Saccharomyces cerevisiae S288C: one gene and its partners. The gene in region 1 interacts genetically with each later gene. Each region holds a gene or a part of one and is shown on either strand. Other genes may lie near its edges. The genes, in order: SPO21, MSO1, ADY4 and POG1.

The links.
Region 2: mutations in SPO21 (region 1) and MSO1 together harm fitness more than expected from each alone (negative genetic interaction), as found in Saccharomyces cerevisiae (one large-scale study listed by BioGRID).
Region 3: mutations in SPO21 (region 1) and ADY4 together harm fitness more than expected from each alone (negative genetic interaction), as found in Saccharomyces cerevisiae (one large-scale study listed by BioGRID).
Region 4: mutations in SPO21 (region 1) and POG1 together harm fitness more than expected from each alone (negative genetic interaction), as found in Saccharomyces cerevisiae (one large-scale study listed by BioGRID).

Annotation. Positions count from the first base shown.
Region 1 is NC_001147.6:143,024-147,663, forward strand, and holds SPO21 (Spo21p), read left to right. Parts: upstream 1-2,310; coding exon 2,311-4,140; downstream 4,141-4,640. Other genes in the region: TRM10 (tRNA (guanine(9)-N(1))-methyltransferase), read left to right, coding at 1-673; YPQ1 (cationic amino acid transporter), read left to right, coding at 1,181-2,107; mismatch repair ATPase MSH2, read left to right, coding at 4,359-4,640. UniProt on the Saccharomyces cerevisiae protein: Involved in the pathway that organizes the shaping and sizing of the prospore membrane (PSM) during sporulation.
Region 2 is NC_001146.8:711,729-715,980, reverse strand, and holds MSO1 (Mso1p), read left to right. Parts: upstream 1-2,325; coding exon 2,326-2,958; downstream 2,959-4,252. Other genes in the region: LYS9 (saccharopine dehydrogenase (NADP+, L-glutamate-forming)), read left to right, coding at 593-1,933; YNR048W (putative aminophospholipid translocase regulatory protein), read right to left, coding at 3,170-4,252. UniProt on the Saccharomyces cerevisiae protein: Involved in secretion. Component of the secretory vesicle docking complex.
Region 3 is NC_001144.5:588,486-595,408, reverse strand, and holds ADY4 (Ady4p), read left to right. Parts: upstream 1-3,365; coding exon 3,366-4,847; downstream 4,848-6,923. Other genes in the region: YLR227W-A (gag protein), read right to left, coding at 649-1,971; BUR2 (Bur2p), read right to left, coding at 4,868-6,055; YLR225C (uncharacterized protein), read left to right, coding at 6,491-6,923. UniProt on the Saccharomyces cerevisiae protein: Involved in the pathway that organizes the shaping and sizing of the prospore membrane (PSM) during sporulation. May be required to stabilize the outer plaque of the spindle pole body (SPB).
Region 4 is NC_001141.2:127,156-133,501, forward strand, and holds POG1 (Pog1p), read left to right. Parts: upstream 1-3,454; coding exon 3,455-4,510; downstream 4,511-6,346. Other genes in the region: putative glucosidase SIM1, read left to right, coding at 996-2,426; QDR2 (cation transporter), read left to right, coding at 5,089-6,346. UniProt on the Saccharomyces cerevisiae protein: Transcriptional activator which promotes cell cycle recovery with CLN2, after pheromone induced G1 arrest, probably inhibiting the ability of STE20 to activate the pheromone response pathway.

The DNA of each region.
Region 1 (4,640 bases):
TGACAGGGGAGAAGAGGTCCCGCAGGAATTGATTAGAGAGCCTCGTATCAATGTGAATCAGACTGATTCTGGGATAGAGATCATACTTGACTGTTCTTTTGATGAGTTAATGAACGACAAGGAAATAGTAAGCTTGTCTAACCAGGTCACCAGGGCATACTCCGCGAATAGAAGGGCGAACCATTTTGCAGAAATAAAGGTGGCCCCATTCGACAAAAGACTAAAGCAAAGGTTTGAAACTACTCTGAAAAATACCAATTATGAAAACTGGAACCATTTTAAATTCCTACCAGACGACAAAATCATGTTTGGAGATGAGCATATAAGTAAGGACAAAATAGTGTATTTAACGGCCGATACAGAGGAAAAGCTGGAGAAGCTGGAACCCGGGATGCGATACATTGTTGGCGGCATTGTAGACAAGAATCGTTATAAAGAATTGTGTCTGAAGAAGGCCCAAAAGATGGGCATTCCTACGCGAAGATTGCCCATTGACGAGTACATCAATCTCGAAGGCAGAAGAGTGTTGACGACAACGCACGTCGTGCAACTCATGCTGAAATACTTTGATGACCATAACTGGAAAAATGCCTTTGAAAGCGTTTTACCACCCAGAAAGCTGGATGCGGAAGCAAAATCCGCAAGCTCTTCGCCAGCTCCAAAGGACACATAGGCAGCCATCACTGTAGTATTATTAGTAACTGAATAGCAAAATAGTAATAGTCTCCGTAGCTACAATAGGTGTATATTGATGTCAGAGATACGGGTTAAACATGCGCAACTGGTAGTAGTTCTTCAAAGGGTGTTTATGCTTATCATAGTACTTGGACATTAGCCGCCGAAACTGGCTCCACTCGAAATCTAAATGGCATTCCCTTTTTAATATTAACAACACCAATCTTAGTGTCCGAGAGGTCCAAATCTAATGTAGGGCCGTGGGAGGATACTTCTTATTTCTCTTTGCTTATTTTGCTTTGATGTTGTATGTGTTTTACCTGTAAATTCTCTAATATGGTCATTTTTGCTCTTAATGACTCTTTTATTTTTACCCGGATTGCAATTTTTCACATATCGTCTTTTTATTCACTACGTACTTTAATCGTCTTCGCGATGATATGTACTGCTAACGAAAGAATGCCATACAAAAAAAAAGCTACCACATCGCTCGACGACCTCAATTATGCAACTTGTGCCGCTAGAATTGAATAGATCCACTCTAAGTGGGATATCTGGGTCCATCTCCATCTCCTGCTGGATCATTGTGTTTGTCCCTCAAATTTACGAGAACTTTTACCGGAAGTCGTCTGATGGGCTGTCTTTATTGTTCGTGGTACTTTGGTTGGCCGGCGATGTCTTTAACCTTATGGGTGCCGTTATGCAACATCTTTTGTCTACCATGATCATTCTTGCTGCTTACTATACGGTGGCAGATATCATTTTACTAGGTCAATGTCTATGGTACGATAATGAGGAAAAACCAGCAGTAGACCCTATTCATCTCTCCCCTGCCAATCCAATAAACGAAAACGTTCTGCACGATGTGTTCAATGAACAACAACCGCTTTTGAATTCCCAAGGTCAGCCAAATCGTATTGATGAAGAAATGGCTGCTCCTTCATCCGACGGAAACGCTGGTGATGATAATCTCCGTGAAGTCAATTCAAGAAATTTGATAAAAGACATATTTATTGTTAGTGGTGTAGTTTTTGTAGGTTTCATCTCGTGGTATGTAACCTACTGCGTAAACTACACGCAACCTCCTCCCGTGGAGGATCCATCACTGCCTGTTCCCGAACTGCAGATCAATTGGATGGCTCAGATATTCGGTTACTTAAGTGCCCTTTTGTATCTGGGTTCAAGAATTCCTCAGATATTACTGAATTTTAAGAGAAAGTCTTGTGAAGGTATCAGTTTCCTATTCTTTTTGTTCGCCTGTTTGGGTAATACCACATTTATTTTCTCTGTGATTGTCATTTCTTTAGACTGGAAGTATCTAATTATGAATGCTTCCTGGTTGGTTGGAAGCATAGGTACTTTATTCATGGATTTCGTCATATTTTCCCAGTTTTTCATTTACAAAAGAAATAAAAAATTTATACTGAATTAACATGTTCTATCTAATATTTATTTAACATATTTTTGACCTCACAAACTTTTTTTTTTTTTCTCTCTGTCATTGACATTTTTTTAATGTCACAAAAAGAAAAATTAAATGTATTATAAAATTTCATTTAAATAGGAAAAAACCCGTGATTACTAAAGGCATATTAAAGATCTATTAAAGATCTATTAAAGCTTTCTGCTACCAGTATGGATAATATTTTAAAGGCATCAAATATGGAAGGGACTTCAACAATGACAGTTACCTCGCGTAGTTCTGAAGACTCTAGTTGTATCTCAAATCATGAACAAGATACCGATACACATAAGGACGGCGACACAAGTGGTCTGGAAAACAGTAAAATTTCGAAGAGAAAGTGGATGAAAGAGTTTTTTAAACTTTCCAAATCTCCAGCTTCCAAAAGCAGCCGGAGTATAGGTTCCATGAAAAGTAACCAGAGCCTCGTTTCAATGAAAAGTAGTGACGATGGCAACAGTTATAAAAATGATTACTCTTCTATCTGTGGTAACAGCCTTCCATCTGCAGGCTTGAGTCGTTCGAATAGTGTGAAAGAATTAAAATTAGATTCAACTGGAAGTCAGAGATCAAAAAATAATGTTGCCATGTTAGCACGTTCTTCTACAACATCTCAGACAACGTGCTCTTCTTCTTCATCATCATCTTCTTATAACTCTATAAAAGGAAATGAAAATGATATTTTATTGCAGAATAACAATCACTTTAGGCATAACAAAGAAATTCCTCAAAGTAAAGGGAGCTCCAACATTAACACCGCATCGATTATGAGCCAATACAATGTCGATACGCAAGCAACCGCTATAATGAGCGATATGCAAAAGCAATACGACTCGCAACAGATGACATCACCATTTGTAAACGAAGACTTGCATTTCGATCCAAATGGTGAAGTTTCACACGTAATAAAAGCAATTTTTAAAGAAATTGGTTATAAATACGATGATTTCAGTGATATTCCTGTTTTTCAATTAATGCAAGAAATGTATCAACTAGTGAAGAAGAATTCCAGCGCTAGAAGAACAAAGATAACAGACTATGCCTCTAAACTTAAAGAAAAAGAAGCGCAATTAAAAAGTCAAAATGACAAAATTTTGAAGTTAGAAACAACAAACAAGGCCTACAAAACTAAATACAAGGAGGTCTCTCTGGAAAATAAGAAAATAAAAGAGGCTTTCAAAGAACTAGACAATGAGTCATACAATCACGATGAGGAATTACTAAAAAAATACAAATATACTAGGGAAACCTTAGATAGGGTCAATAGAGAACAGCAATTAATCATTGATCAAAACGAGTTTTTGAAGAAAAGTGTCAATGAACTACAAAATGAGGTTAATGCTACCAACTTCAAGTTCTCTTTATTTAAAGAAAAATATGCAAAATTAGCTGATAGCATCACTGAATTGAATACCTCTACGAAAAAAAGAGAGGCCCTGGGAGAAAACTTAACTTTTGAATGCAATGAATTAAAAGAAATATGTTTGAAATACAAAAAAAACATCGAAAATATATCAAATACCAATAAGAATTTACAAAATTCGTTCAAAAATGAAAGGAAAAAAGTTTTAGATTTGAGAAATGAGAGAAATTTGTTGAAAAAGGAAATACTGTTGATTGAATGTCATGGTTCATATTCTCTACTCCTTGTATCTAATATTCTGACATGTTATCGGTTCTTACTGCCAAGTGATACTATTATTGAAACTGAAAGCTTAATTAAGGAGCTACTCAACATGAATAATTCACTTTCGAACCATGTGTCTTCTTCTGACGAGCCTCCAGCGGAGTACTCGAAAAGATTAGAATTAAAATGTGTAGAGTTTGAGGAAAAGTTACTTTATTTCTATCAAGAACTTGTGACGAAGAAAATTATAGACGTCATTTACAAGTGCTTTATTAATTATTACAAGAAAAGTAGGCAAACTGACCAAAAATCCAATCAGAACTCCAGCACTCCGTATAAACAAAGCCAAAGACAAGTTCCGCACTCCATCAAGTGAACCTCAACAGCTACACATTCTTTTATAATCCTTAATATTCTATATATACATATATGAAAAAATAGAAAACGCGAAAACTTGTCATTTTTTTTTTAGGCGTTTTTATAATATACTGAAAATAAAAAGAGGCTCTTTAAATGTTGACACTCTACTCCAATATCAACTGTAAAAAATCTCTTTATCTGCTGACCTAACATCAAAATCCTCAGATTAAAAGTATGTCCTCCACTAGGCCAGAGCTAAAATTCTCTGATGTATCAGAGGAGAGAAACTTCTATAAGAAGTATACAGGGTTGCCGAAGAAACCATTAAAAACCATTAGATTAGTGGATAAAGGCGACTATTACACAGTTATAGGTTCAGATGCGATATTTGTGGCAGATTCAGTCTATCATACTCAATCTGTTTTAAAGAACTGCCAATTGGACCCTGTAACGGCAAAGAACTTCCATGAACCAACTAAATATGTTACTGTTTCGCTACAAGTTCTTGCCACTCTG
Region 2 (4,252 bases), on another chromosome or scaffold:
CTGGCAATTATTTTTCATTTTTTTTCATTAGGGCTAGAAGTTGCTAAGAGCAAACAAACTGTTACTTGAAAGGTTTTCCCACGTTGGTAGCTACATATGCAAGAGTCTTATGTATCGTATCTAAGTGCCACGTAGGGGATTCCCATCATTTGATGATTTCCAAATATAATACCTGTAGAGAGCGGTGGAGCAAAAGTCAAATTTTAATCGCAACTGCAGACAAGTCAAGCTGAGGAAATTGTGGATGATCTCTTGTTTCTTTTGATATTCACCACAACAGAAGTGAAGAGTGTGATTGCGGTTACTACTGACCACGAAGCAATGCGTTTAGTAGTGAAAAGAATTACTCATACTCTGGAATCGAAATTCCGTTGGAAAAATTCGCTTTGTAGTGAAAAATAAAGATGTCAATAAAGGGTATTGAGAATTTCCAATGGAATTATCAGCAATAGATGATAGAAAGTAGCACAGAATTTGGCTTAATGGTATATAAACCGTAGGGTCCTGGTAAAATTACATGGGAAGGATCCTTAGGCAGTAGGGAAAACTTATCAGGACAATTGAGTTATATTAACGTATTATATATTTTAATATGGGAAAGAACGTTTTGTTGCTAGGATCTGGTTTTGTTGCACAACCTGTTATCGACACATTGGCTGCTAATGATGACATCAATGTCACTGTCGCATGTAGAACATTAGCCAATGCGCAAGCATTGGCCAAGCCCTCTGGATCCAAGGCTATTTCATTGGATGTTACCGATGACAGTGCCTTAGACAAAGTTCTGGCTGATAACGATGTTGTCATCTCTTTGATTCCATACACCTTCCATCCAAATGTGGTAAAGAGCGCCATCAGAACAAAGACCGATGTCGTCACTTCCTCTTACATCTCACCTGCCTTAAGAGAATTGGAACCAGAAATCGTAAAGGCAGGTATTACAGTTATGAACGAAATTGGGTTGGATCCAGGTATCGACCACTTGTATGCGGTCAAGACTATTGATGAAGTTCACAGAGCTGGTGGTAAGCTAAAGTCATTCTTGTCATACTGTGGTGGTTTACCAGCTCCTGAAGACTCTGATAATCCATTAGGATACAAATTTTCATGGTCCTCCAGAGGTGTGCTACTGGCTTTAAGAAACTCTGCTAAATACTGGAAAGACGGAAAGATTGAAACTGTTTCTTCCGAAGACTTAATGGCCACTGCTAAGCCTTACTTCATCTACCCAGGTTATGCATTCGTTTGCTACCCAAATAGAGACTCTACCCTTTTCAAGGATCTTTATCATATTCCAGAAGCCGAAACGGTCATTAGAGGTACTTTGAGATATCAAGGTTTCCCAGAATTTGTTAAGGCTTTAGTTGACATGGGTATGTTGAAGGATGATGCTAACGAAATCTTCAGCAAGCCAATTGCCTGGAACGAAGCACTAAAACAATATTTAGGTGCCAAGTCTACTTCTAAAGAAGATTTGATTGCTTCCATTGACTCAAAGGCTACTTGGAAAGATGATGAAGATAGAGAAAGAATCCTTTCCGGGTTTGCTTGGTTAGGCTTGTTCTCTGACGCAAAGATCACACCAAGAGGTAATGCTTTAGACACTCTATGTGCACGTTTAGAAGAACTAATGCAATATGAAGACAATGAAAGAGATATGGTTGTACTACAACACAAATTCGGTATTGAATGGGCTGATGGAACTACCGAAACAAGAACATCCACTTTAGTTGACTATGGTAAGGTTGGTGGTTACAGTTCTATGGCCGCTACTGTTGGTTATCCAGTTGCCATTGCAACGAAATTCGTCTTAGATGGTACAATCAAGGGACCAGGCTTACTAGCGCCATACTCACCAGAGATTAATGATCCAATCATGAAAGAACTAAAGGACAAGTACGGCATCTATCTAAAGGAAAAGACAGTGGCTTAAATAAGAAGAAATGTATCAAAAGGTTTATCATACGTAACAGTAACGGCACTTTATAAATCTTTCTTTAGTATTACTTATACTTTCATAAGGAAACGTAAAAAAAAAAAAACCGGAAAGAGGGACAAAATGGACTAGAACGTAATTGAGAGTGTAGTTCCTGAAGCTTGAACCGCTAGTAAGTCGTCTACCTTTAGTCTAAAAAGTATTGGCTATTGCATTTTATAGTCTTGCTTCTGATCAGAACGTATTAAATGAGCTCGTAAAGACTCTTAGGAGTTTTTCACTTTTAGAGATTAATACTATTAGGAAAGGTGCAAAAAAATAAAACGCCAACTAACTATTAGACGCTAGGCCCTAATACCAACTACCAGTATAACTAAGATTTCACGCATATGATGAGTCAAGTATCGCATTCCCAAGAAGGATCCGGGCGATTTTGGAACAAGTTTAAGTCGTCAACCAAATCGTTATCTACATCGTTGGCACATTTATCCATTAAAGCAGAAAAAGATGGTGATACTGTAAATACTACATTGGTCCATAAAGGGCTTGTGAAATTCTATGAAAATCAGCATCCTTTCCAGGGGTTCCCAGGATGGTTGGGGGAGAAGGAAGATTTACCGAACGAACGTAAAATATTAGATACTCAAGTGAAGCATGATATGAAGAAGCAAAACTCGCGTCATTTCTCGCCATCCTTTTCTAACAGAAGGAAGGCTTCTTCAGAAGATCCTATGGGTACACCTTCTTCAAACGGGAACACACCGGAGTACACGCCTGCGAGTAAATCGTTTCAAGATATATACAATAATCATACAAGCTCCTCTAGCGCGACACCGAGAAGAGCTTCATCACGGCCGACTAGACCTTCAGCAGGCCAAGAATTCAGGGCAAGTCTCGGTCGAAGTAAAACGTCGAACAGTTTCAACACCTCCAGCACGCCAACGCCGCCACCAGACGCAAGTAGTGGAGTAATGGCAATGAAGGACAGACTAAAGAGACGCAATAACGATTATGGATTTTAAATAGCACTATACCTTGCTGAAATAAAGCGAAAAGAACATTTAATGAATATATAGGTATCGTATATGTACTGAATAAAGTGTTTGATACAGAATGCAAGGAGATAATATAGTATGGTATATAACCTCGTCCTTATTTTGAATATACATGAAATTACAACGCTTCCCTAGAGACCGAATCAAACGCAGGGATTTTATAGTAAATGATAATCAATCATAAAATTTCTCTCAATGGAATACTAACGACACTACTCTCATCGAATGGGGTATCGCTGTTCTCAAAATTTAGGTAGCTATGATCATGCATAGGTCTTGGTTTGAAGATGACTTTTATCAGGAATAGTATGGCGAAAAGAGTTGCAATCCCGGCAACAATCAAATAAACAATCCCTAATGCCTCGTTTCCAGCACCGATAATACTGTTTGTGGTTAATACAAAAGATTTTGTTCCATAGAAAGATCTTACTGGGTAGTTGAGTTCTATATCAGCAATGTAAATACCCTTACCTAACCCATTGGTCTCATTTTTCATTGCTAGCTTATAGAAGTTGGGCAATGCAGCAGTTCTCATCCATATTTTGAACTGTTCCCAGTTTTGTAGGTCTGGAATGTTATCGTCAGTGTAGCCATTGGGAAATAACTTGGCCCAATTTGGGGGCGGTACGATATCGGATGCATTGTATTCGGTCTTTCCATATCTGTGGCTGTCGGTGTCCCACGCAATACCTTTTGTGGTAAGCAAATAATCTGCAGTATCGTTTACACCAGTAAGTGTTGTGCCGAATGTATCATTGAACATCGAATTTGCTATCAATCCACAGGGGAATATGGTCTTATTTTCTACCGTCCTTAAAGGGTCACAGTTTGGATCCAGATCATTTCCGATCAATGCTTTTCCTTTTAATTGGTCTAGGTCAAGAGATTGCACATATTCTCTATAGTTTTGATTGAAATTTGTTAGGCGGTAATAAACATAAGTAGATTTCTTGATATGATTTGGAACTTCGAACTGTATTCGACAAGTTTGATTGCCTAATTCAGGATCCGTAAGTACCATCCATTGAGGTTGGACTGCGACTTTCTTACTGAAGTGGTAGTCCACGTACTCGGAGGGAATCGTTTCAAAATGCTTCGCCGGTGCCAATGCATCACATTCTGTGTAGTTTACCACTAGTCTTTGGACACTTATCGTGCTGACCACCAGCCCTATACCAATGGGTGCGAAGACGCATGCCATCAAAATAAGCAACGGCAGTACGCTCTGTGGCGACAAGATGGGCTGCCAGGCTTTGAGGCG
Region 3 (6,923 bases), on another chromosome or scaffold:
TTTAGTCGTGAACCTTTGATATGTCTGTGTTTGGTGCTTTTGCCGATTAAACAATCAGGACATTGATAGTCAATAGCACTAGACCAGTCGACATCTGATTCGTTAAAATACGTGATGGTGTTATTTTTAAGTGAGTATCGAATTGTCTGTGCATTGGCATGCGCAAGCATTCGATGAATGAAAGGATAAGGATATTTGCGTGTACTTTCACTTGTATGGACATTATTGATGGTGGGTACGGAGATATTTGATGGAAGCAAGTACCTTTTAGATACCCAGTAAAAGTCTCCATATTGTACGATAGGTGCAAGTACAGTGCCGTCAGATCGTTCTAAGACGTTTTTGGTAAAGCATGCTGTGATATCTACTGCAGCCAATTCATTCAAACTGAGTAAGTCATAGGCTATGTTAGGAGTGTGCAATACCTTTATTGATGTTTTGGTGTTGTCCTGGAAGTGAAATTGTAGGTCACCAATAGCGTTAATTGGTATATTTCTTTTTTGAGCATCAACTACGTTTATGTCAGGATTAGATGATGCTGAGTGTATGTGATGAGCAGATCTTATAAGGGTTCGTGATGCTCCTGAATCGAGAAGGAGGTGTCCAGGGAGTTCATCATCAGAATGATTAGTGTGATTTACCGTAGATTCAGTAAGTTCCTGGCCTAAGGTGAAGGTCGTGCTTATTGTTCAATTGAATCGGTTCAGTAGTTGATTTACTGATGGAATCGTTGTCCGTGCTGGGAGAGTTATTAGATGTGGATACATTGTGAGCCCTGGCTGTTTTCGATTTCGAATTATTTGTTTTTTGAGGATTCCGAGCTATAACTTTGGGTTTGGTTGTATTCGTATAGCTGCGAGAATCATTCTTCTCATCACTCAGATTTCTCCTGTAATTAGGTTTGCTGTTTCTCGATCCCTGTTGTTCTTCATAAATAGCATGGATATCTAAGAACAGTTCAGCGACTGTCATATTTAGATGTCGATGACGTGTGTAGCGTAAAAATTTATATTCGCCAGATAGACCTCTCATAATTAATTGGCATGCGACCTTGTTATTGATATGAATGCCATTATTGTTCAGTCTGTCGATAATGTTTGTGACTTTTGTTTCAAATGCATCTGCAGGTGTACTGCCATTATATTGCAAATTTGCCAGGGTCACAATGTCGTTTGCCTCTTGGGTATCAGATTGCATTTTTTCAATACTTTTGGAAAGAATTTTCATGATATCCGTATAATCAACGGATAGGATGTCTTTGACCCAGGTAGGTAGGAATTGAGAGGGAGCAAATATTTGAAAAGTGTTATACAAGAAGGTGAGTTCATCATCAGTGATCTGACGTACGGGTTTTCCGTTTACTGTCGGAATAATACCACCGAGATTCGAGTTTTGTAAAAATTTGATGTATGTTTTAACCCAATTTGGAAAGTCATTAGGTGAGGTTAACATTGGTGGTGGTCTGACATATTTTTTAGTGGATGTCATATCAGAGTCCGCTGAGGATGAATCAGTAAATGTATTACCTGACTCAGGTGATGGAGTGCTCAGAGGCGTTCCAACTGATGATGGATACTGCGGAAACTGTGATTGTGGCCCAGGTGGAAAGTACATAGGCGACATTTGATAAGGTGTATACGGAATCATAGATGGGTGTCCGTAAAATGACCAACCAGATGGATTGGCTTGGTTTTGGGTCATCATGCACTGCTGTGGGTACGGCCCATTCTGTGGAGGTGGTACTGAAGCAGGTTGAGGAGAGGCATGATGGGGGTTCTCTGGAACAGCTGATGAAGCAGGTGTTGTTGTCTGTTGAGAGTTAGCCTTAGTGGAAGCCTTCTCACATTCTTCTGTTTTGGAAGCTGAAACGTCTAACGGATCTTGATTTGTGTGGACTTCCTTAGAAGTAACCGAAGCACAGGCGCTACCATGAGAAATATGTGAATGTTGAGATAATTGTTGGGATTCCATTGTTGATAAAGGCTATAATATTAGGTATACAGAATATACTAGAAGTTCTCCTCAAGGATTTAGGAATCCATAAAAGGGAATCTGCAATTCTACACAATTCTATAAATATTATTATCATCATTTTATATGTTTATATTCATTGATCCTATTACATTATCAATCCTTGCGTTTCAGCTTCCACTAATTTAGATGACTATTTCTCATCATTTGCGTCATCTTCTAACACCGTATATGATAATATACTAGTAATGTAAATACTAGTTAGTAGATGATAGTTGATTTCTATTCCAACATATTCCAACAAAAATGATATCGATCCCAAAGAGCTCCTAAGCTAGGGAAATCGCGGAGATATATGCATTTCCCAAATAATTTATGCTTTCCCACATTTGCTAACTTAATTGTTGGAATAAAAATCAACTATCGTCATTAACTAGTAGTCTTACTACGCGTATATTATCATATACGGGTAGTTAGATGATGACATAAGGTATGAGAAGATGCAACCGAAGTTAAAGGAAGCTGAAATGGAAGGATTGATAATGTAATAAGATAATGAAAAATATAAAACGGAAGGAGAAATAATCGTAATATTATTGTGTAGAAATATCGATTCCATTTGAGAGTTTCTATATCCTCGAGGAGAACTTCTAGTTTATTCTTATACATAATATTATAGCCTTAATCAACAATGGAATCCCAACAATTATGTCAAACTTTACCAATTTCTCATTAATAAGTAATCAGCCAAGAAAAAGACTTTAGAAATAAATGGCTAACCCAATGGCTTGTATAATCCATCGTTTTCAACATACAATGGGAGTTTGGCCGAGTGGTTTAAGGCGTCAGATTTAGGTGGGTTTAACCTCTAAAATCTCTGATATCTTCGGATGCAAGGGTTCGAATCCCTTAGCTCTCATTATTTTTTGTTTTTTGCCATCTTTACTTTTTCCTATAAATTACTAGATCGTATCATTTTAGCACAGTTGTTTCACTCCAGTTCATAATTAATGTAGCCATTTCTCTAAAAGTTGGCAAAGCTTCCTTTACGTTCGTAAGTAGGGAAAGAATTATGACGTGTTACCAGACCCTGTCTGCCGGGTGATTTTGGGGCCACAAAACTGGTATAGCAGCGAATTCGCATATGAAATGCAGTAGCTGAACCTGTCCATTGCCACAAAAGTTCTATTTACTAAATTTGAATGAAGTGCCCCGGCACTATAGAGAATTTTTCTGTCAAATTTTTATTGGGCGTAAAGGTTTGCGCTGTCACAGAGAAGACGATTTACCCATGATTATGTTACTACTCATCTCCAACAGGAGGAAATACAAACAAAATTGTACATATATGCCCTATTTATTGATCATAGTCACAAATTGTCGGCTCACGTATAATGAATAAAGACGTCGACTATCAAACTTTTAAAAAAAGTTTAAGAAAAGAATTTAAAAAAGCTGTGAAGACTATCCTAAATTTACAAGCATATAATGGTGATTTGATAAGGGACTTTTTGGCTCTTTATATTCCGTACCATGTAGTTTTTTATAATCTTTCGATCATGAAAAAAGGTTCACCATTAAGGATTCAAACCAATAACCTTCTGAAAGAAGCGCTGGCCAAAATTTTAAACTTTAATCTTGCGATGGGTCCAAAACATATCATCAAGATAATGAAGAAAGATAAAGCCGATCCAGAGACAATGAATAAATTAAAACTGGTACTATATATAAAATTATTTCAAGGAGTATTTGGTCATGTAGATAAAAATTATAACCTCGCATTTCAATCTTTTCGCTGGTGCTTACAATTCATTGCGTACTCAAAAAGGACAAGACTATTTGCAAGTATCGCAGACGAGCAAATTGGAGCTTTTTATGAACTTTGCGAACTATTTATATCCATGTTGTGTTGCCACTGTTTTCTAATTGATTTGAAAGAAAATGAAGCATTGGTAGGCAATAATCTAAAAAATTTTATCAAAAGACAAAACCCTAATTATTCCCATGGCTTCGATTTAAATGAGGAGACCAAGTCACTTCAATGGCACTGGTCACTCGACGAGGTAGATGTTATTGAGGCGTTATACTGCGTCGCTTTCGATGCGATGGATAAGATAACGCTTAAATTTTCAAAGGTCAATGAAAATTTTGTTTTTAGTCAGTTTTTTCAGTATTGTGCAGAAATCGAAGAAATGTTAGCCATTCTGAGAGGAAAAATTTGGGAGTGTGAATGTGATGTGTTCGGTCCCAGAATCGGACTATTAGTAGATAGTAACCACATGAATGAAACAATTCAAAAAAATATTCTGTCAATAACTTTCAAACTTAAAAATGACCCTCAGATTATATGCTGCTTGAATAAAATTCTGGAAGGCTTATTACTTTCATCAGGTGTTCAATTTAAAGTTATCCAGTTTTTTTATGTATTAAAACTATACTATATGCAAGATAATGAATACACATTCGAAGCATCATCTGAAATGGATAAATTGACCATAGAATGCTTATGTATCATCGAAAATATTATTGATGCTTGTGACAATCCTGATGAAGTAACTGACTACCAACTACCTAAGGTACTGTTGACTGCTATGGAGGGGAAATTACTTGTTGCTGAAAAAATATCCGAAGATAATGACTGTTCAGAATCTCTGGACGATTATCATCCCCGAACTTACCAATTCAGACATCCCAGAATAATAATAGACAAGATGAAAACAAAATTGAAGCAGAAACTGCGCTTTGACTCACCTAAAGATCCAGAAACAGATGATCATTGGATTGAGTATTGGAAATATTGCTATCAGGATAACATAGGGAACTTGCCGGACATTTTGTCACGTATATATCAAACCTTTACTGATCCCTCCAATTAAACATAACTTGTACTCTATTTTTATATTTTAGGTTTTTTGGCATCTGGGGTTCTTATAGGATCTTTAGCCTTTCTCTTCATACTTTCTTGTTTAGCCTTATCTAGTAAATCTTTAACCCTTGTTTCAATATGATTCAAAAACTCTTCCTTCACCTCACCGGATTTAATCAACTCGTAGTTAAACGGATCAGAGATTTCTGAAACTTCATTTTCCACATCGCCACTTTCGTCAATCACCGAATCAATCATGCTTGAATCAATTTGTAATTTAGCACCTTTATTACTTTTTAAGTTGAAAAAATTCTCTTCCAGTAACTTGTAATCGGTAAAGATATTGGCAAAATTTTCCGGCGTTACTTCGATAGGGAATCTATCCTTGAAGAAGTTTTTCGGATATCTGAAATCTTTGTCTACAAGCTTTTTATACTCTAAACCACAGTATATGAGAGATAGTACAATGAACGTATAACCGTCGCACAATAAAGAAACTGGCTGGGTGACAGCTTGGACCATAAAATTTCTTGATTCTTGAAGAATTTTTGGAAAAGCTTTTTTAAAGTTTTCTGGCAGATTGTGATCCCTGTTGAATCTATAATAGCCACTGAACACTTCTTCAATCAATTCTTTTGGATTACTGATATTTAAGTCAAAGCCAAATAAACATAGTATTTTTTTTTCATTCGTCACTAACTTATCTCTAAATTCCCATTTAAGTTTATCAATATTTGTTCGACTTTTTAAAGACGGTATATTTTGCATCAAAAACTCACAAGTCGCCTTAATATAGGCCTCTATAGGCCTATTATTCTCCATTGTTTTGCAAGCGGTGACCAGAATTCCCTGTGATATATGAATACATTCAGTTATGGCTGTAGGTATTCCATATATGAACCAATACCTGTAAAATAGAATGCATGATGCCGTATAGGTGTGATCAAAAAGATTTAATTTTTTTTTAAGTGTGTAAAAGTACATTAAGCATTTTTCCATATTTTTTTTTATTTCCACTGCTATCGGTCCATTAGTGCCTATCTTTTCAATAATATCTTTGCACTCAAAAACCCACTGGTTTTCTGGTGTTTCTATCAAATCCGGCCATAGGGTCCTTGCGTTAAACCCACTCGATGCTGGTGGTGGTGATGCATTGCTCGTTGGTTTTGGTACAGCTTGAAATTTTTTCACGTCACCACTTGAAGATGTAGCAGACATTATCTTACTGTAATATATTTTAAACGAAAATACTACGGCCTCCTTCAATATGTGTATATAATTACCAATCAAAATAGCTACTTGCTTTCTAACAGAAATAGTGATACTTTTTAATCACTTTTCTTTTTTTACTGAACAGTGAAAAATAGAAGTCACAATGAGACCTAGGTCAAAAAGCCATAATGAATAGGGTTTGCAATAAAAAAGCTTTAAACGATAGGTCTGTTAAAGAGGATAAATAGGTTTATCATGTATCATTTGGTTTTTTGGGATAGGGCTTGGCAAAAACCATAACAGGGGAATGAGATTTTATATATAAATAGACAAGATAGATACTAAAATAGTGACGGATTCTCTCTAAATATTCGAGAAATTTTCAAAATTTTAGGGCAACGAACAGTTTAATTAACATAAAAATCATAGAGCAAAGAAAAAATGGCGGTTGCGATCAAAAAGGAGAAGACGAAATTTGCCCCCGTTAAGGAAGTTTTATCCGAGAAGGATCATGCTAATTATACTAAATTTCAGGATACATCGAAACTAGAATGGTTTTGCAGGACGTCAAATCACAAAAAGTTCAAGTCACATAGTTTATTAAAAGCAGTAAGAAATCCAACGGAAACAAGAATAGAGACACAAACTCTGTATTTTACGGATCTCACCAACGGCAAATGTGGATTAATTCAACTATTATATTCCAGTGTTATGGGCGGTATATACAAAGGTTTTCAGTTAAATTTCAAAATATTTAAAGCCAGCAGTGAGGAAAACTCTGAAGAAGACATTGATATATGGGAAAGCTTTAAAATTGATAATATCAAAGATTTTGATACGTTAAAAGTTGAATCGGACAATGTTACGTTTCACT
Region 4 (6,346 bases), on another chromosome or scaffold:
CACCACGTCAGGACATCAATAGCTAATAATCGTTCTAATGCTAATGTTCAACTGCTCTTTAAGTATTGTTTACGTCTCGTCGTACCAGTATGCCAAATTCCTGTCACTTCACTCATTCTCTTTGCTCTTACCGTTTGAAACGCGCTGGGACGGAATTCGCTCATTTCGCATCGTGCTTTGTTGTTTTTTTTTTTTCAAAATTGCCATTGTTTATTTATAAACTACATGAAATTATTCTGTATTTATCTTCGCATTCCCTCTCTTACTTCAAAAGTGAGAACAGCATATTCAAATATATATATCTACTCAGTTGAATAAGACACTATAGCAAGACCATTTGAACTGAAAGAAACAGTTTCTTTGCTCCCCTCTCGAATTCCAACTATTTACAGTCCTTCCTTTATAAAAATTAACTAGCGAGCAAGAAAACATTTGTTTAGTGCTACCCAACTACTTACATTCCTTTAAAAACCACAATATTTAAGTTAACCTGAGCTTTATTTTTAGTAAGTTATTTACCACAATTTTTCTCATACACCTTTACAATCCGTATTGCCATGAATACCAAGGCTTGCTCAGCTTCTGCAGCAGTTCAACCCTTTCCAATACCGCCAATGCGTCCTCAAAACGTTAGTTTAGTCGTGCTCAACCGCTATTTTTGGTTTTATCTTCGTTTCTTTCTCCTGAACGACATTCGTCACGAAAATTGCGGCGGAAAATTTCCTGATGCGGACACTTTTTCCCGATCCGGACATGCCTTTTTTTGGCGTTTCGCGTCAGTCAATAGAAGTTTCAGATCTACATTAGGAAGAACCAGAAAATAGCCATTAATGCTTTCAGCATAGCACAGCATAGCAGCTGTGTATATCTTAAATAAGATGTAGACTGGTTTGCATTTGGAAAGGTTTTGTGTAAGAAAAGCAATACTTGAGGTAAAACAAGAGAAAAAAAAACACTTTACTAACTAATATCCAATCCTTTATTTTTTTGCAGAAATGAAATTCTCAACTGCCGTTACTACGTTGATTAGTTCTGGTGCCATCGTGTCTGCTTTACCACACGTGGATGTTCACCAAGAAGATGCCCACCAACATAAGAGGGCCGTTGCGTACAAATACGTTTACGAAACTGTTGTTGTCGATTCTGATGGCCACACTGTAACTCCTGCTGCTTCAGAAGTCGCTACTGCTGCTACCTCTGCTATCATTACAACATCTGTGTTGGCTCCAACCTCCTCCGCAGCCGCTGCGGATAGCTCCGCTTCCATTGCTGTTTCATCTGCTGCCTTAGCCAAGAATGAGAAAATCTCTGATGCCGCTGCATCTGCCACTGCCTCAACATCTCAAGGGGCATCCTCCTCCTCCTCCTCCTCCTCGGCAACTTCTACCCTAGAAAGCAGCTCTGTTTCTTCATCTAGTGAAGAAGCTGCTCCAACATCTACTGTCGTGTCAACTTCTTCCGCAACCCAATCTAGTGCTTCTTCTGCCACTAAATCTAGTACTTCTTCCACTTCACCATCTACTTCTACTTCTACTTCCACTTCTTCTACTTCCTCTTCCTCTTCCTCCTCCTCCTCCTCTTCTTCTTCTTCTTCTGGCAGTGGTAGTATCTACGGTGATTTGGCCGACTTTTCAGGCCCAAGTGAGAAATTCCAAGACGGCACTATTCCATGTGACAAATTCCCATCTGGTCAAGGTGTCATTTCTATTGACTGGATTGGCGAGGGTGGATGGTCCGGTGTGGAAAACACCGACACTTCCACTGGCGGTTCATGCAAGGAGGGGTCCTACTGTTCCTACTCCTGCCAACCAGGTATGTCTAAGACCCAATGGCCATCCGATCAACCATCTGACGGTAGATCTGTCGGGGGTTTGTTGTGTAAAAATGGTTATTTGTACCGTTCTAACACTGACGCGGATTACTTATGTGAATGGGGTGTCGAGGCTGCCTATGTTGTTTCTAAACTAAGCAAGGGTGTCGCCATTTGCAGAACCGACTACCCGGGCACTGAAAACATGGTTATCCCAACCTATGTTGAAGGGGGTAGCTCTTTGCCATTGACCGTTGTTGACCAAGATACTTACTTTACTTGGGAAGGCAAAAAGACATCTGCTCAATACTACGTTAATAACGCCGGCGTCTCAGTTGAAGATGGGTGTATCTGGGGTACTTCTGGATCTGGTATTGGTAACTGGGCACCATTAAACTTTGGTGCTGGCTCCACTGGTGGAGTGACATACTTATCATTGATTCCTAACCCAAACAACAGCGACGCATTGAACTACAACGTCAAGATAGTTGCTGCTGATGATTCATCCAATGTCATCGGTGAATGTGTTTACGAAAATGGTGAGTTCTCTGGCGGTGCTGACGGGTGTACCGTCTCTGTTACTTCCGGTAAAGCTCATTTCGTCTTATACAATTAAGCTACGTGACTACTACTTTTCCTTTTTTTTTTCTTTTTTCGAACACATCTCACCCCCTATACCTCACACAATCACTATGGTCCCCTTTTCTTTTTACCGATATTTATACTGTCCACCTTTTTCTTTTCGTTAATGGCCTCAATGTTTCTGTACCATTATCCAAGTGAACTTGTTAGACGACCAAATATAGCCAAGATTCATTACGATTATCTTTAACTAGCAAGTAGTATTCTTGGATAGAGAGATTTTCAAAGACGGAACAATTTTAAATAGATTTACATAAGAAAACACATACTGTCCGATACCCATAAGAAATTTAAGAACTCTTTTCATCTTCAGCTTTCCGGCCTCCTTTTACTGTAGCCTGTTCCTAGACAGCTAAAAATAGTACATATGCAGCTCTGCAATAGTCTCAAAGGGGATATTGTGTAGGTTTACGAAATCATCACATTTCCGAATCAGGACATGAAGGCACAACTTTCCGCACGTAGTGTTTTCAGCCCCCAGCGCCTGTCGGCGCGAAGAGGATCTGCGGAGATGAGCTTTGCCCCGCCATTACCCGTAAAATATTACTGTTTTGGGCAATTGTGGATCAAAAAGGGAAAATGCGGATGGTGAAAAAAATTTTTGGAAATTTACTGCTTCAGATGGGGGAACTTTGTAAGTTCTTCCTTTTTTTTCGTAGAGGTTGGAAAATTCAGAGTGCTAAGAAATTAAAAGGTATGCACTGCCTATTCTCATAAAAGCAAAAGTGCACAAAAATAATAAGGTGTGAAGCAATAGTAGAAAAGACACTGGGAACCCAAGGTATCTTATTTTAACAGATAAGTAAAACTAAGATCAAATCGCGTACTGATATCACTTAAGGTTCGCGTATTTTAAAGGCTACGCAGAAGAGGAAATAAATTGCGTGCAATCCCTGCGCTTAACTCATACAAAAAGGCGCAAAACATTTCAAGAGTCCCACGATTAATTGCAGAAATTGAAAAAAAATAAGTAAAGACGAAAATCAAAGTGGATGCCATATTATGAAGCAGGAGCCACATAGACAATCCGAAGAAAAAGAGAAGCCGAAAGGACCAATGGCTGTTGAACGAGAGCAGCATACCTCATTATCTTCTGGTACAACCGTGACAGCTAGTACAGGAGACGAGAGTACCAACAGTAGACCAGTGGAATCATCGCAAACAGAAAAGTCTCTATCGCTTCGAATAAGAATATTAAAACAACTTGGGTTTGACGATATTCAAGAACTAAATGCATGCGACACTGGCCTAGTGGAGCAATTTTTAAACGTACGATTGATAAACGACACAAAAGAACTAGAAAAGATACGCGAGTCAAATCTTGCGAAACTAAACCAGATTATTGATAAATGTATGGAAAGTGATAAAATAAGTGATTCGACATTAAACAAGATTCTTGATATGTCCATGAATAGAGATACAAATAATGATAACAACAATCATCTTACGATACCGTCTCCGATAACGACAAAGAAACGCAAGATAAACGCCTCCGAACTTGCAAGTCCACGAGGCCATAGAAGATATAGATCTGATATACCTACAGTGTCAGAAGTTGAGACAGGGGTCGGATACCCTCAAATACACCAGCAACCAGGCGCATATACTTTACCTATGCCTGCAAATCAGTGGATGAGCAACCCGTATATGCAACCTCCGCAACCACAAGTGCAACAGATAATGCCGCAGTATTTATATCCACCAGGGATGGGACCACAAGCTCAGCTTCCTACAATGAGCTCAAACTCGGAGTCCCAGACACCAGTGATGAGCTCACAGTTTCTTTCCTTGAACCAGCATGGCCTTTACCAACAAAATATAGGTGCTCATCCGGTAATGAGTATGGGCCCACAGGCAAATATATACGGGCAGCAGCACCAGCTGCAACCTGGTCAGGAACGAGACCAGTCAAGAAAAAGTTTTAGTCATAGAAGGTCACAAAGTGCCAATATTTCCATGGCAAATTTTAGGTCGCCCATGCGAAATCCCCAGCCGGCTTCGTCCCAAAGGCCCGTCAATTTTCTCATTCATACACCAAAACATCCTCCTCCCACATGACGTGCAGTAATTTTCATTTTTATCACCTAATTTCTAAAACTATATCCCTTCCTAACCTTCATTCGATGCATCCGTCCACCTTACTTCAGTTCAAAAAAAAATATATATCCATATATATGCTACAGTGTTATTATTACGATTTCTTTGCCTTTACTCCTTATCTCATTTCAATCATGAATAAACAGGATATTGATAATATATGCTGTCATTTTGGATTCAGTCTGCTTAACTGTCTTGTCCACCCCCGGTGTTCTTACCCGTCTGAGCGGTCGTAAGACGGAGGTAATAATTTTTCAGCATCCTGACCTCCCCCCCAAATCTGTGCCTTTCACCACATTTTTCTCGAGAAAATGTGTCTTGGCTCAGATGATGTCGTATGAGCTACTGGACTTTTTTTTGTTGGCCCTGATGAAAATAGTAATGGCGGTTACAGAACAGATAAACGGCGTCACCATCTTTTCCTAGATAAAGAAGCAATCTCTAGATAATGGGGTATATAAATATACATTGTAAAAACGGCAAGTCAGTTGCTGGTCATTTTAGTAGAAACTCTGCTCTCAAACTTGAGTACTGCAACGATGGCAGGAGCAACATCAAGTATAATTCGGGAAAATGATTTTGAGGACGAGCTTGCGGAGAGTATGCAGTCATATAATAGAGAAACTGCAGACAAATTGGCTTTGACTAGGACCGAGAGTGTAAAGCCAGAACCGGAGATAACCGCTCCGCCTCACTCACGCTTTTCCCGTTCTTTCAAGACAGTTTTAATAGCTCAGTGCGCTTTCACTGGGTTTTTCTCCACAATAGCAGGTGCCATCTACTATCCAGTTCTGAGCGTTATAGAAAGAAAATTCGATATTGACGAGGAATTGGTGAATGTCACTGTTGTAGTATATTTTGTATTTCAGGGTCTTGCCCCCACATTCATGGGCGGGTTTGCCGATTCACTGGGCAGGAGACCGGTGGTGCTTGTCGCAATCGTCATTTATTTTGGTGCCTGCATCGGTCTTGCTTGTGCTCAAACGTATGCTCAGATCATTGTGCTAAGATGTCTACAAGCCGCCGGTATTTCACCCGTGATTGCGATTAACAGCGGAATAATGGGAGATGTTACTACTAGAGCCGAGCGCGGCGGGTACGTTGGATATGTTGCTGGATTTCAAGTTCTAGGTTCTGCGTTCGGAGCCCTTATCGGTGCCGGATTATCATCTAGATGGGGATGGAGAGCCATCTTTTGGTTCTTAGCAATTGGATCTGGCATTTGCTTCCTAGCCTCGTTTTTAATTTTGCCAGAAACAAAGAGGAACATATCCGGGAATGGTTCTGTCACCCCAAAATCATACTTAAATAGAGCTCCCATTCTTGTTTTGCCAACAGTAAGAAAATCATTGCATTTGGATAATCCAGATTACGAAACATTGGAACTGCCCACGCAACTAAATCTACTGGCGCCCTTCAAGATTTTGAAAGCTTATGAAATTTGTATACTTATGCTAGTCGCTGGATTACAATTTGCCATGTATACTACGCACCTTACGGCGTTATCCACAGCTTTGAGTAAACAATATCACTTGACTGTTGCAAAGGTAGGATTATGCTACCTTCCCTCCGGTATCTGCACATTATGTAGTATTGTCATTGCTGGAAGATATTTGAATTGGAATTACAGGCGCAGATTAAAATATTACCAAAATTGGTTGGGCAAGAAGAGATCAAAGCTTTTAGAAGAACACGACAACGACCTTAATTTGGTGCAACGTATCATAGAAAATGATCCCAAATACACCTTTAATATCTTCAAGGCGAGGTTGCAACCCGCATTTGTTACCTTGCTTT